Mytilus edulis: one gene and its partner. The protein of the gene in region 1 interacts with the protein of each later gene in a pairwise test. Links are inferred from orthologs where the notes say so. Each region holds a gene or a part of one and is shown on either strand. Other genes may lie near its edges.

Evidence for each region.
Region 2: the proteins of proteasome subunit alpha type-3-like (region 1) and GATOR complex protein Iml1-like interact in a two-hybrid assay, tested with the Caenorhabditis elegans proteins (2 studies listed by BioGRID). The link is inferred for Mytilus edulis from reciprocal best matches to the Caenorhabditis elegans genes pas-7 and depd-5.

What each region holds. Positions count from the first base shown.
Region 1 is NC_092346.1:25,014,545-25,022,670, reverse strand, and holds the start of proteasome subunit alpha type-3-like, read left to right. Parts: upstream 1-4,645; 5' UTR 4,646-4,750; coding exon 4,751-4,771; intron 4,772-7,494; coding exon 7,495-7,577; intron 7,578-7,947; coding exon 7,948-8,071; intron 8,072-8,126. Other genes in the region: 2-aminoethylphosphonate--pyruvate transaminase-like, read right to left, coding at 1,955-2,055, 3,081-3,218, 4,312-4,456.
Region 2 is NC_092349.1:82,684,824-82,693,261, reverse strand, and holds the start of GATOR complex protein Iml1-like, read left to right. Parts: upstream 1-4,754; 5' UTR 4,755-4,792; coding exon 4,793-4,850; intron 4,851-7,379; coding exon 7,380-7,473; intron 7,474-8,072; coding exon 8,073-8,122; intron 8,123-8,438. Other genes in the region: large ribosomal subunit protein uL16m-like, read right to left, coding at 696-865, 2,557-2,616, 4,596-4,650.

The DNA.
Region 1 (8,126 bases):
ATGTTTTATTAAAAACCTTTATCTGTTAAGTGTCAATTCATTATGCCCAATGAGCTAATAATGTATAAGGATTAAACTCATTTCAATTTAAAATTTAGCAAATTTTAATTGAATGTAAAAGAATTGAATATTTTGATTTCGCTTTTTATATTTGTCAGTATGCAATGAATTTCATTTTACAAGCTGTACATTATAATATTCATTTTAATTGCTTTCTGGTTAAATAATTAAATAAATGCTTTTTGTAAATTTATATCTCTATACATGTATTAATATTTGGGTTGAATTTTACATTCATGGAGTCATTAAAATATGTGACTTTAATACCAATAGCCAAGACCACACTCAGAGATAGAAAAGATATCAAAAAACATATGTAACCTAAACACCAAAAGCTAAGACCACATGTGGAGATAGAAAAGAAAGAAAGAAACATATGTGGCAGTAACACCAAAAGCCAAGAACATGAACACATGAGGAGATAGAAGAGACTGAAAGAAACATATGTGGCATGTTGATGAACACCAAAAGCCAAGACCACACTTGGAGATAGAAAAGATCAACAAACATATGTAACCTAACACCAAAAGCCAAGAGCACCTGAGGACAGAAGAGACAGAAACAAACTTATGTGGCATGAACACTAAAAGCCAAGAACATATAAGGATATAAGAGAGACAGCAACAAATATATGTGGCATAAACACGAAAAGCCAAGAACACATGAGGATATAGAAGAGACAGCAACAACCATATGTGGCATGAACACTAAAAGCCAAGAACACATGAGGAGATAGAAGAGACAGCAACAAATATATGTGGCATGAACACTAAAAGCCAAGAACACATGAGAAGATAGAAGAGACAGCAACAAACATATTTGGCATGAACACTAAAAGCCAAGAACACATGAGGAGATAGAAGAGACAGCAACAAACATATTTGGCATGAACACTAAAAGCCAAGAACATGTAAGGATATAAGAGAGACAGCAACAAATATATGTGGCATAAACGCGAAAAGCCAAGAACACATGAGGATATAGAAGAGACAGCAACAACCATATGTGGCATGAACACTAAAAGCCAAGAACACATGAGAAGATAGAAGAGACAGCAACAAACATATTTGGCATGAACACTAAAAGCCAAGAACACATGAGAAGATAGAAGAGACAGCAACAAACATATTTGGCATGAACACTAAAAGCCAAGAACACATGAGGAGATAGAAGAGACAGCAACAAACATATTTGGCATGAACACTAAAAGCCAAGAACACATAAGAAGATAGAAGAGACAGCAACAAACATATTTGGCATGAACACTAAAAGACAAGAACACATGAGAAGATAGAAGAGACAGCAACAAACATATTTGGCATGAACACTAAAAGCCAAGAACACATGAGAAGATAGAAGAGACAGCAACAAACATATTTGGCATGAACACTAAAAGCCAAGAACACATGAGGAGATAGAAGAGACAGCAACAACCATATGTGGTATGCACACTAAAAGCTAAGAACACATGAGGATATAGAAGAGACAGCAACAACCATATGTGGTATGCACACTAAAAGCTAAGAACACATGAGGATAAAGAAGAGACAGCAACAAACATCTGTGGCATAAAATTAAAAGCCAAGAAACACATGAAATAGAAAAAACAGAAACAACCAGTGAAGAGATTTGTAAATATTGCACTAGTCAAGTTATAATGTGATGGCAGCTTTACCATTGAAGGTTTTTCCATTTTCACTAGCTCAATAATTAGGTTTAATAGGAAGAAGTGCAATAGTCAAGTCACATTTATAAAATTATTATTTTGCTAGACTGTTATGGCGAAAGTTTTGGCGATGTAAAATAAAAAAAAAAACCAACAGGATATTAATAGCTTAGATGATACAGAATTAATAAATAAATAACATAAAAATGTTTATAGCGTATTAACTACCTTGCCTCCCTGTCTGGGGACAGCTGTTTGGAATACAGCCTCCACAGCAAAGGTTCCACTTCCCTGTATTGGAACACATGTGAACTCATCTTTGGATACTTCTACAAGCAAAAAAACAAGCCAAGTAAAACTTGTGGCAAGTGAGTTGTCTTTTCCTTGGTATATTCCACAAAAAATATATACTGTTATTTTAAAACAATTATTTTCATTTCTTATACTGTAAAGAGCTTTATTTTTACAATTTTTTTTACATATTTCTAGGTCAAACCTCTTTTACAAAGGTCTTATTTTCATGTTTTTCTTGTCCTGATTCTGATCAGCTGATTTAATTTACATGAAGGGATATTTTTCACAAGTTTTATCTCAATGGTCAATCTGATCTTAATATAGATCCAGTGTCCACACTTCACTTATAGAAGGATTTAAGAACACTATGTTTTACTTTCTGCTCTGGTAAATATTACAACAGCCAATGAAATTACAGCCATCAAAATTTTGAAAGTGTGTAACATTATGACAAAACCTGAGAATCCAGAAAGGTCTTAAGGATGTACTTAGGTGAGGAATTTGTGTCAAATGTTCGGACTCCTTGGTGTTTTCCATACAATACAATGTAAAATATTTTGCCCCATAACACCAATTTATTTTTTCATATTAGACTTAATAGCTCATGAAAGGTCATTTACCAAAATTTTAGAAGATTCTTGATTTTCTTTTTTGTTTTGAGACCCAAATTATACCAATGCAAATATAAGGTAAAAGTCCGAGTCAGCATTTTCCCAACATATTTTAATACTCAAATATCTTGAAAAGGAGGTCCATGACCTATCAATATTATTAGCTTATCTTTATCCTTAATTGATGCTCTACCAGCTAATAATATCAATTTTCATTTCTTAATTTCTTAATTTTTAACTAACCTCACCTAAGACATGTAAGAACATCCTTAAAAAATGATAGTAGAACAGAGTGTTGTCAGTTCCTTGTAGAAAAAGTGTGGACACAGGGTTAATATTTCAATAAGATTGCTTAAAAGTTGAATCAATTAAAACAGAGATAAAATAAATATTAATTGTGTTTGGATATACACCTGAGGGGACCTATGATTACCCATATTTTAAAATACCTGCTATTTCTACTAGTTTTGATCTGAGAGTTTTAATTGCTTCTATAAAGGCTACATCTCTTGAACCATATTCTGTAAATGCTGCTTGTCTGACTGTAGGAGAGGTCGATAATGGTCCTGGAGTAAATAACTTTTTTTCTGAAAAAAATACACATGTATCATATTTTTGTGCATTTTCCCTATACAGAAGGTTTTTGTTCAGCAAATCATTTGGTAGTTATGTTATGACTATAGGCATACATTTGAATCACATTAAAAGGTATTTTTGATCATCATTAATAAGTGTTGGCCTTTATGATGCACAAAATCATGTCAGAATTTTAAGAAAATAAGTAATTTGAATCAATGTTATTAGAAAAACGGTATTGTTGTCTTTAAATTGTGTTGACATATTCTTATTTAAACATGTAAGGTTGATTATGTCTAGCATAAGAACAGTGGTGGATCCAGAACTTTTTGTAAGGGGGCCCGCTCCAGTCACGCTTCAGTGATTCCCTATATAATCAACCAAATATTTCCAACAAAAGGGAGGGGGCTGGATCCGCCTATGTAAGAAGATACCATTGCTTTTGATTTTCTTGTTTGTGTATATATATTTTGTACTCTGTATTTGGATGTTCTGATACCGTAATTGATGTTATATAATAAAGGTGTCATTATAGTTCATACAGAAGCTCCCTTTTTACATTACAAAAAAGGGGGAAATACTGACCATAGCAACAAATATCAAGAAACTGTCAAAGACTAAATGAATAAATTGCTGTTACACATTTTCCTCACATATTATATTACTTAAAATTGAGAATGGAAATGGGGAATGTGCCAAAGAGACAACAACCCGACCATAGGGCAGACAACAGCAGAAGGTCAGCAACAGGTCTTCAATGCAACAAGAAATTCTCGCACCCGGAGGCGTCCTTCAGCTGGCCCCTAAACAAATATATACTGGTTCAGTGATAATGAACACCATACTAAACTCCAAATTGTACACAAGAAACTAAAAGTTAAAATAATACAAGACTAACAAAGGCCAGAGGCTCCTGACTTGGGACAGGTGCAAAAATGCAGCTGGGTTAAACATGTTTGTGAGATCTCAACCCTCCCCCTATACCTCTGGCCAATGCAGAAAAGTAAACGCATAACAATACGCTTGAATACTTACATCACTTAGATAATTTAACGAAATATAAATGATAAGGAAATGCGATAAATAGTTCAGGTGTACACATACCTGGTGCATCTTTTGTGTAACACTTCTGATGATTTACATGAGACATCTTAAAAACAGAGAGGAAATTTGGTACCTGGTAACTTTTATGTTGAAACTTAGTAAAAGCAACATAACTTCTCAATGTATTGCAAGTGATTTTGTTCATCCTAATAGATCAGTTTCAGGGTGCTAATGTTAATGACACCAAGATTACAACCAGTGTCAGTGACACATTGCATATATTGAATTTTATCTAGTCATATCTTGTTATGCAAGGGGTGATTACTCCACTCAAACTTTTCTATTGAAGCACTTACCTACACAAATATTTGTCATGTCCTTCCCGAATTTGGGATTTAGTTTTTATTGCTTCTCGGTTCTTTTCATCGAAATTTAAAGAAAACTACCGAGGGACCACGTTAGATTGAAACTTCCTGTCGGTAAATGACAAAGCAACAACATGAGCTCTATTGGAACTGGTGTAAGTTAAAAACCGCACCATTTAGTGAATTGTCCACTTCGGTGTACATCTTCAAAATACAATTTATGATAATTTTTCAAGGTCTGCGTGTCATTTATCTACTTTGGTTTTAGGAATAAATGGAATTTTCACCCAATATTATTTGCGTACTCCATCCATGACTTTTGTACAAATGTACATGTATCTATTAGTTTTGAAAATTAAATTGTCAGTTTAAAACACATTTCTGGATGATCAGTTTGCAAAAAATGAGAGTTCAAATTTCAAACACAAAATGTGTCTACAGAAAACCATGACAACGAGAATGTTCCATTCTTATACACCTTATCGCTATTTGTCCGCCATTGCTGGAAATCACACAGATTCCCGTAAAATTTTGACGTCATAAAACAAAATATCTGACGCCACAATGGAAAAGTGATTGTTGTTGACGTCAAAAGTTCAAGCGGCTGGGTCAGCCGGGATTAGCGATAAGGTGTATTGTACTAGCCTATAAGGGGTCCATTAATAAAACATCATTTCCTTATGTTCTTGTTCATTAAAGTCATAAGAAACCTCAAATTAAAAAAAAAATATGCATATATTTTTTATAACTAAATGGATAGTTTTCATTATACAACTTATGTACATATACATTTTTCTGAGGAAAATTCTTTAATTTGTCCACATTTAGAAGTTTACTTATTTTTAATTGCTTGCTTCCAGGAAGCAATTCGCCGACATATTTTCCGTATGCATAGTGACCCGAGCGTAACCCTCCTCGTAAAAATCTGGTAATCGCAATACGCATGGATCTGTATTGAAATAAACAAATATCTGAGTTTACATGTTAAACACGTGCTCAATACCCATGCTTTTTGTGATTTGTTTACTTTAAGATGACAATCGTTAAAACTCGGCTTCAAAACACGGCATTTAATGAGCAGCCATATTTTTTAAATCATAACAAACAGAGAGAAAAAATATTGACGATTATAGGATATATTTGCGAAAATAATGAAAAATCGTGCACAGAGGACTAAGTTTATGATATATACATGCATTGGTTCAAGAATTGGATAAACATTATTTTTCACCACTCACTCGTTTCATATGACTTTAATATATGATAAACCGGTCATCCATATATGTTTACGACGCATGGGCAGACTTACCGGACAGTCACAACCACACTTCAGTGAAAAACACAGGTGACCCATTAGTCTGATTGATTTTCAAATCATTTCAGATATATCTATGCGCAGTATACGGAAATTAGATAAAATATGTAACATTGAGTTTTCAGTGAATACATATAAATCAAATTTGATGCAATTTTCATTTATTAAAGAAGAAATGCACACGATTAAAGCCTTAGGTGGGCAGAGTTCCCAGACAGTGCACCGTAATTGGCTCTATATTAAATAAGATAATAGGCTTTTATTTTATTGTGTTAAAATAGTGACATTACAAAAACTTTTAACACATTTCCTTTAGTGCTTTGTGTCAAATTGTGAATTATTTTAAACTAGGACATACTGATAATGTTAGTATAATATAGTCCATGTTTTGCTGAAATGAATAAGAATATTGTATTGATGATCAAAAGTCAAGTTCATTCATCTATGACTTGTAAAAGAAATAAAGAAGATACCATAAGGCTATCAAACTGGTGACAATGACATTGCCACACACAAAAATGAATAACACAAAAACTGGAACATCAATAACAGCAATAATGATTTTCAAACATATAATAATAATTCTGAAATAGCTTTAAAAAGGAGTAAGTTCGGTAAGGGCCATATTTGGCCGTGATTTTAAAATTCAATGTTAAAAGACAAAAAATGTTTTAAGTTGACTTAAAGACGTGATAAAGTTAAATAAAACTACTTTTAACAAAGTTTAATTCTAACACTTCAATTTTTATACCCCAAAATGGTCAAGATAAGAGATTTTTGTGAAATTTGACAAAATCAGCTGAATTTTAACCAAATTTAGAACCAGGAAACATAGAGTGGAGGCGTTGACAAAATACATATTAAAAAAAGACATGTGAAATGTTGTCACAAACATTATTTTAAAGATCTTTGTTGTTGACGTAAATGCTCTATGTTTCCTGTCCAATAATCTATGGAAATTTACCAATTTTCATTGATTTTTTCGTGGAAAATCAACATGAATACAACTTGACGTCATAATAAAACACAGGAACGTAATTTTTCAACAAAATGGCTTATTTCCTATCTAGTCACTGTATTAGCTATAATTAATTGTGATATTCAGATATTGGTCAATAAATCCGAATTTGAAATTTACACTAAAAAATGGGGCCATTTTAGGACCTTATCTTTGTAAATAGCAATCAATTTAACTCAAAACAATGGGTTTCACAAATTAGCAACAAGAAGAATAATTAAAGCAACAAAAAAGCTAATTAAGCGACAAGAAAATAAATTTAGCACCAAGATATCTAAATCGTAATTTTTATTTGAAATAAATAGATATAGAAACATGCACTGAAATTTGCTTGGTCTTGCTTTAAATATGTATTCAAGAATTATCATGATTTTGAGCAAAGAAAATAAACCTATCAGTGATTTTAGGCACCAACCAAATCTTGCAGTTATATATGCTAATGAATGCATATGAATTTTAAAAAGTAAAAACAAAAATATTAACAACAGTCAACTATTTACTAGATGCCTAAGTTTTAATTAAATATATATATAAATATATTTCAGTATGACTTGTCAGCTTCTCAGTTTTCACCTGATGGAAGAGTGTTTCAAGTGGAATATGCATTAAAGGCTGTTGAAAACAGTGGGTAAGTGTATTTATGTTATACCAAACATAATCAAGGTTTGAAAAGATTATTGGTTCATTGGCAAATTTCATGAGAGAATTTGATTGAACAGCACCATTCATAAATGGCTTATTGATTTGCAAAGTGCAAGTGCAAACTCTCCGTTTCAAATTGTGAAAAACTGGAAATCAGAACCAGAATCCGACAAAGCATCATTTATACACATGAACTAAAAGCTAATTTCTTCAAGATTAATTGCAATTGTGTGAAATAATGGGCAAATCAACTTTTGTTTTTGTTGTTGATGATGTTTTAGAGATTTTAAGTATTGTACACTACAAATATTCACTTAGGAAATTTCAACCCACATGTGTTTTCCCCTTCATTTCAGCACTGCTATAGGAATACAGGGAAAAGATGGTGTAGTATTTGGTGTAGAGAAGTTAGTAACATCTAAACTATATGAAGCTGGAGCTAACAAAAGGATCTTCAATATAGACAGACATATAGGAATGGTAAATTTTTCTTGAGGTCCAAAGCAGGGCTTCCAAAAAATATTTGAGCCAGCCG
Region 2 (8,438 bases), on another chromosome or scaffold:
CTCAGACTTCTCTTGAACTGAATTTTAATGTGCGTATTGTTATGCGTTAACTTTTCATTGGCTAGAGGTATAGGGGGAGGGTTGAGATCTCGTAAACATGTTTAACCCCGCCACAATTTTGCGCCTGTCCCAAGTCAGGAGCCTCTGGCCTTTGTTAGTCTTTTATTATTTTTAATTTTAGTTTTTGTGTACAATTTGGAGTTTAGTATGGCATTCATTATCACTGAACTAGTATATATATTTGATTAGGGGCCAGCTGAAGGACGCCTCCGAGTGCGGGAATTTCCCGCTGCATTGAAGACCTGTTGGTGACCTTCTGCTGTTGTCTGCTCTATGGTTGAGTTGTTGTCTCTTTGACACATTCCCCATTTCCATTCTCAATTCTATTTACATATTCACAGGGTAAATACTGTTCCTATGTATTTATTTCATGTATCATGGAATATTACCTGGTATTACCTTGTAGTAATAGTCAATTATCCCGTTTTATAACTGAACACCAAACAGTTTTCTGTTGGTAAGTTAAACTCAGTTTTTACCATGAAATGCAGAGTAGCATTTTCTTTTTCTTGGTAATTTCTTTTAAAATGTTCTATCTGTAATGGTTTTTATATTTCAAAGTTCACCTTACTATGACTTTGGGAGGTGTATTTTTTTGTTTAATTTATTACATATATCTGTAACTTTTTAAATACCTGTATTCCAAATTGTCCGTAGATAAGTTTGTTATTGACCATCTCTGGCCCTCTCATATGGTCCAACATTTTAGACATGGTAGGAGGTTTAGCAGAAGGAATTGGGTTCTGTGGTACTTTGTCAAACTGTGACAGTTTACTCCTTAGTCTATTTACAGGTAGTTCTAAATCTGTAATATAACAAGATTCATATCATAATGTGTAATATTAATTTTCACACAGACTACATTAAAGTCTAACAAAAGGCTGTTAGAGCAACAGCAAACCAGATTTTTTTTATTGATTATTTGTGTTCTGGTATTTTTCAAGGACCACAACTCCTGATCATAAAAAGTAAAAGTGACAATCGTCAATACTGAACTTGACCTTCATTTTGTCATCAGTAAAAATGTATTAAAATTTAAAAAGCTTTGGTTGAATGGTTTATGAGTAAATGCATGGACACTGTTTGGCAGCCTGCCATATGGATACCCCTGTGCCCTCTCGCAGAACATCCACAAGTCAATAACTGATTTTTCCTTCTAAAATCAGGATAAAATGTATTGTTACCAGCAAGTTATAATTAAGTGAGCGTGCTTAATCATCTAGATAAAATTCTTATTTCTGAATTTAAATGCAGTTATATAACTTTTTAGATTTGCAGACAGTGATTGAAATTGTTCATTAAGGTGGCTCTTAAATGTAACTGAAGGTAGATACAACATATTAGGATAACAGGCAGTGATTGAACAGGGTGAAATCTGACAATGCTTTAGATGGTAGAATAAATCTTAATCATGAATAAAATGATGTTTGGGGTACATGTCAAAAAGACATCAACCTTATATAAAAAAAATAATAAATAGACATCTAAAAAGGAATCAAACAGTCTTTAAAAGTAGATCATATCTATAAAGCAATATGTCAAGATACAAATCATCTTAGTCACTCTATACAAGTTGTGAATAACTGTCAGAAACAAAACTCAACTCAAATTCATGAGTTAACATTTTTTTTTTAAAAGTCACAAATGTCATAAAAAAGTCTTAATTTGTGACAGCAACAGGAAACATTAATGTGGTAGAATTATACTTATTGTTTTAGATCTTGATCCTTTCAAACTAAGCAATACATGTGTAGTACCATCAATATTATAAATAGTAACTTCTTCTCTGATTACATTCTTCTGTATCATAACTTATACTGTGTGTATATATTTGATTCAATACTTTTTCTTAATGCTTTTTATAAAACATACTAATTCTTTGTTTGCAGTGAATTTAAAATGTTTCCTTGACATTGTAACTGTACCATGTTTACTCTTATCATGTTTATGATTTTTTAAGATACATGTACTAATAAATTATAAAACAAGAATGTGTCCAAAGTACACAGACGCCCCACTTGCACTATCCTTTTTCATGTTCCATAGACCGTGAAATTGGGTAAATATCTAATTTGGCATTAAAATAAGAAATATTATGCTATAGGTAACATGTGTACTAAGTTTCAAGTTGATTGAACTTCAATTTCATCAAAAACTACATTGACCAAAAACTTTAACCTGAAACTCCCACTTTAATTTTCTATGTTCAGTGGACCATGAAATTGGGGTCAAAAGTCTAATTTGGCATTAAAATTAGAAAGATCTTATCATAAGCAACAAGTGTACTAAGTTTCAAGTTGATTGGACTTCAGCTTCATCAAAAACTACCTTCACCAAAAACTTAAACCTGGAGCAGGACAAACAAACGAACGGAGCCACAGACCAGAAAACATAATGCCCCTCTACTATCGTAGGTGGGGCATAAAAACATTTTTAAATGAGCCAAACACTGAAATCTCAAATACAGCAGAAGGTTTAATTATCAATCAAAATTACCTTCTTCCTTTTCTGGCATTTTCAGCTTCATGTATGTGGCAACCTGAGTCACTTCTGACCCTGAAAAATAATCAAATTATCTAATTAGCTACATGTCAGAATATAACACAAAATCCCCTTTTTTATTACTTCAAATCATCTTTTTATTGTACAGGAAAGTCGAAGTGAGTTTTCCAACTAACAATGACTAAAGATACTTTAAAAGTATCATCAAACATGTCAAATATCAGACCAATATCTTCGAATTCAAGCAAAGAAAAAATTGTGGAAAAACTTATTTGCCTGAATAACAGATGGACAGACAGACAGGTAGACAGATAGAGCACAAACATGTAGTTTAAAGGTAATTTATATAATCAGAAACCGATCTAAAATAGAGAATTGAAATGGGAAATATGTCAATGAGACAACTACAACTGAACCACCAATGGGTCTTCAACGCACAAGAAAATCCTACACCCAGAGGCAGGCTTCAGCTGGCCCCTTAATAACAATGTGTACTACATGTAGTTCAGTGAAAATGTACATCAATACTTAACTCCAAAACATCATGCTACCCAAATTGTACCGATCAGAGTTTTGTGGTAAAAAGTATTCTGCATAAGTTGCATAACATTTGGTTGAGTCAAACTTAAGTTTAAGAACTGAAAAAATATCAAGGATGGAAAAAAATATTCATCATATTTTCATTTTATTTATAAAGGGCATAACTCTAGAATGGTTATATTAAAGTGACACTACTTAAATTCACACTTGATCTGTATTGTAATAAGCATTGTGTGTAAGTTTCATAACATTTATTTAGGCAAACTAATATTAGAGAACGGCAACTAAAAAATCAGCAATATTTCCACTTATAAACATGATAAAGGACCACTAGCTACGAGATACATTAAAAATCTAACACATTATTTCTTTTGCTCAATCATTAATGAAATGCAAATAGAGAAATAATAATTCACTTTTAGCAGCCAATATGGTTCAATTTTGTGAAAATAAGCTAAAAAACATTGATTATGATTCAATCACTTGCAAGTGAATAATTCTACCTCATTCATGTCATTGAATCTGTATTCATGTGAACTTCAATTTAACCCCTTAGCTTGAGATGGATAACATGTGAATTATATGTGTAAAGTTATTTAAAGGAAATTAATGTCAACATTGAAAGTGAAACAAAGGTAAATCATTTGATTGACTTATTTGATCCAAACACAATCATTCTTATACAGGTAAAAAAAAGGATAAACATGAATTTTTAATCTATAACATGAAGTAAATAGACCTAGAAAAATCCAACAGCACGAGTTAGCTCCATCTATCTATATTTATATTTATGTTTACATCGCATGTATGGTCATCAGATGACTTTAGAGGTCAACTCTATAGTTAATTGGATGGTGTATGGACTAAACTACACACAAAACGAAGCTATGTTTTTTCATGCCAGTGTCCTGTTTATTGTTTATTTTAGACTTTTAATGCATGTAGTTTTGATAAATGTTTTTATACATTGTTATAAATCAAATATGAGAATTGTGTTCATTTCGGTGAAAATGAATTTGACAGTTTGTGCCCCTTTAAGTGCACATGATGTCACCAAAATCCAAACTTGATCTGTGTTATGTGGTAATAAGCATTATGTATAAGTTTCATCACATTTAGTTGAGGCAAACGTTAGTTAGAGAACCGGAAACCAACAATTTTTTTTCAGCTTATCGAGAATGAAAGTAGAATGAAAAAGATATCAGCTGATCATTCTTTATACTAAAAATAAAATATATTGTAAAGGTTACTATACAAATCTTGAATACAGAATGCACCCTAAAATAAAGTGGAAGGAAAAGCTGAACATATGTTAGGTTCCGAATTGTCTAACCGTTGGCAAAAATTATGCCGAAATGACTTTTATACATAGGTGCCGATTTGATCCCTAATCATATCTTTCTAAGAGATTTTTGCTACCGTGAGAACAACTGAAATAATCACATATATCGAAAATGATAAAAAATTGCTACTTATTCAATAATTTCAATTACATTTTGTTAGCAAAAGTAAATGTTTTCTGCAAAGATTTTTTACAAGACAGTTCATTTTTTGTTCTTCGATGTAGGCTATTCTCTTTATTTTCCCTTTACGCAAATTCGTAAATGTAAGCGTTTTGCAGACCATGCATTTCGTATGTTTCTCTCGGACTTTATCCATCGCCGTACGAAAAAACCGCCACCAAAATGAAATGGAGAATGAAAAGATAAAAAAGCTTCATGTCCATAAAAGAAATCCACAAGATGCATGTAAATGACATTTCGTGATTTTTGTTTAAATTCATTTCAAAATCTTTTTACAAACCATGCATTCGTTACAACTGTACTGTGTACATGAGTAATTTAATTTGCAATGTAGCACTGTCTCTTCTGAAGTTCTGTCAAATTATGACAAATATTTTGAAATTATTCATGACATCTTGGAAGGCTGTTATTTTCTGCAAAAAAAAAGAGGGTGGCAAAGGGTTATTTTTGTGCAACGTTTTCGGTCTTTTTCTTTCTTTTTTCGAGTTTGGTTAGAAGTGCGTGATGTATGAGAGCAAGACTTAATAGTTAAGATAGTAATTTAGTCATGGCTAATCTATCTACATCTACATAATACTAATAAATATACAAGTTGTATTGCTGTAGTGACGTAACATAATACATACCTGTCAACCTCTGAAAATGAAAAGTCAGGTCATGACCTGCATTGAGAAAAAAAATCTCAGGTCATAACGCGTACGACATTTTGCGGGCTCAATTGAAGAAGAAAAATATGTTTACATATAATTTATATAGTCAATATGTATATGAAACAGTTAGAACATGTATACAAGTTTATTTCAGACTATTGTTATATTCCATAGTAGCAGACTTGGCATTCTTTAAAAGAACTGCACTTGGTTTCAGTTCATAGCAATGCAAATGTGTATTCATTTTACAAGAAAGAAGAGCACACAGTGTATCCTTATTAAGATCAGCCCTAAACTCTGTAGCTATTTTCTTTACTAAAGAAAATGCCCTCTCACTGTCTGCAATGCTGTTTGGCAAAACCAGTAATGTTTTAGCAAGTTTTGACAAAACAAAAAATTTTGGCTTGTTAATAAAAATGTCATGCAACTTGGACATTTCTCCCCAAAATGTACCAATGTCAGTTTCAGGGGAAGTGCAAAGTGGAAGTTCATCTAATGGGGTCAACTGATAGTCACTGAACTCATCTTGTAGCTGTGTTGTCTCTTCATATCGTTACGTAGCTCAGGTAAACAGTCCTACATTTTGACTTTTGGTTACATTGAAAAAGACCGATAAAACCGAAGGTCGTATTACTTCTAAATACCGGAAACAATTCCGGTCAGAAATCTGGGTGAAACGGGTAATGTTAGAAATTCCCGGGACCCGCCGGGTAAAGAAAAACTCCCGGGTGAGAGGTGAAAATAACGGGTGTCACCCGCAAAAAACGGGTGAGTTGACAGGTATGATAATACTGAATATCCTAAAGGTTTTTATGGTGTTTTCCCAGAATAATCTAAGATATCCTACTGTAGTGTATAATCGGTCGTCTTGTTGGTTCATTCAGACTTTGTTATTGTACTTATTACACGGGAAAACTCCGCATTGACTCCACTACGCTAATACCAACTCTCAAAATTAGTGCAGAATACATTTGTTCTACTCTTCTAAATAAAAGAACATTTCTAAAGATATGTCGTCCTGAATATGCATGAAATATTTGCCACTGGACGTCAAGCAACCAACAATCAATCAATCTAGAGATATGTTTTCATAGTTATTCAAAAGTATTTTATAAAAATTGCCAACTTGCCAATTTTCTAATGGCTGTTTAAAACCTGACTTCCAAATTCCTAAAACATTTCAGAACTTCACAAATTCCACTTCTGACCTCTATAGCTTTGTGTACATTCCATTAAGCGTCATCAATGAAGGGGATAGGACCTTTATCAGTATTCCGGGAACAGGTGTTTTTAAGCTCGGAATTTCAGGATTGACCCTTATGGGATCCGGGAATTCTTTTTTTCCAATTTCGGGATGCAGGTATTTAGATCTTTTTAAATTCAGGAATATCGTGTTTTAAAGCCCAGGTTTTCAAGATCAGGACCCCTCCTACACCCCCCCCCCTCACTCAATCTTAGTGGCAGACAAAACAGGTCATGCAAATCATATTTCTAAGAATTTCAAAATGACAAGCACCTTACGTTTGAGGGATTTTCCCACTACAAAAAAACATCCACAATAAAAATAAAACTTTGGGAAAAAACAATGTTCATAGATATAGGAAGATGTGGTATGAGTGCCAATGAGACAACTTCCAAGTAACAATTTTATAAAAGTAAACCATGACAAGTCTCAATTTACAGGCTCTTGAACTGAATTTTAATGTGTGTATTGTTATGCGTTTACTTTTCTACATTGGCAAGATGTATAGGGGGTGGGTTGCGATCTCATAAACATGTTTAACCACGCACATTTTTGCACCTGTCCAAAGTCGGGAGCCTCTGGCCTTTGTTAGTCTTGTATTATTTTTAATTTTAGTTTCTTGTGTACAATTATAGAGTTTAGTATGGTGTTCATTATCACTGAAATAGTATATATATTTGTTTAGGGGCCAGCTGAAGGACGCCTCCGTGTGCAGGAATTTCTCGCTGCATTGAAGACCTGTTAGTGATCTTCAGCTGTCGTCTGTTCTATGATCTTTTATGGTTGGGTTGTTGTCTCTTTGACACGTTTCCCATTTCCATTCCCAATTTTATTTATAAACTTTTTTGTTTGCTATTTTAGTTTTAGGAAATGATATTTTGATCAATCCTAAAGACTTTCCTGACGTTGTTCTCCGAGATATTCTAGAGATTCATCATTCTGATAGTGATAATAGGTAAGTGTCATCAAGTAAGGGAGATAACCTAACAATTCTTTGTAATAACTAATATATATATATAGTTATCATGAACTCAGTCGTGGTATCAGTGATGATAATTGTTACGGTAATTGTATTGCTGTTTTATTATTTCGTTCCACTGTGTAAACCCCTGTATGTATATGTTCATTTGTAATTGGCATTTGATGATAGTCTAATGTCTGGACTAAGTGGACTTTTTTTCAATGTTTTTTACTTCCTTACTCACTTTACATGTTTTAATTCATGTACATGTATAGGCATTTAGCTTAATACATGTAAAATGATTTTTGAAATAAGAAGTTATTGAATTTTGACAAATGAGGTTTATAGGTTATGAAAGTAATTCTGGAAAAAAGAGTTGATTTATCATGTTTATGAAATCATTAATTAATTTTAACTGAAAATATTTATAAGTATGATGAAAGAAACAAGAGGAAGATGTTGAGTAAACATAAAAGAGAAACAACCCAACAACATCAGAAGGGGTCTGTTAGATATTAGATTTTGTTTGCCTATATTTATTATTCAAGAATTAAAACATTGTAATTTAATGTATGCTCTTATTCTAATTTTAGTCGATTACTGCTACAGGTGACAACAGTGACTGGTGAATTTCAACAGAAAGGTACACCATTTTATTAAACATTTGTGTTTCTAGATTTTTGTGCCCAGTGACAAATATGACAGAAACAATAGATTTACCAATCTTGATACATCTAGATCTGTCTATGAAGATTTTGTAACTTCCTTAAATTCAATATTTCAGACTCCCAAGGTTAAAAACATCAATGACATTACCCATTAAATTGATTTTATAAAAGTGTGGATTGATTGCAAATGAGAAATCACTATACCAGAGACCAAATTTAAGGAAGATCTGATGTATGATTGCCAATGATATGACTCTTCACAAGAGATTAAATGACACAGAAAATGATGAA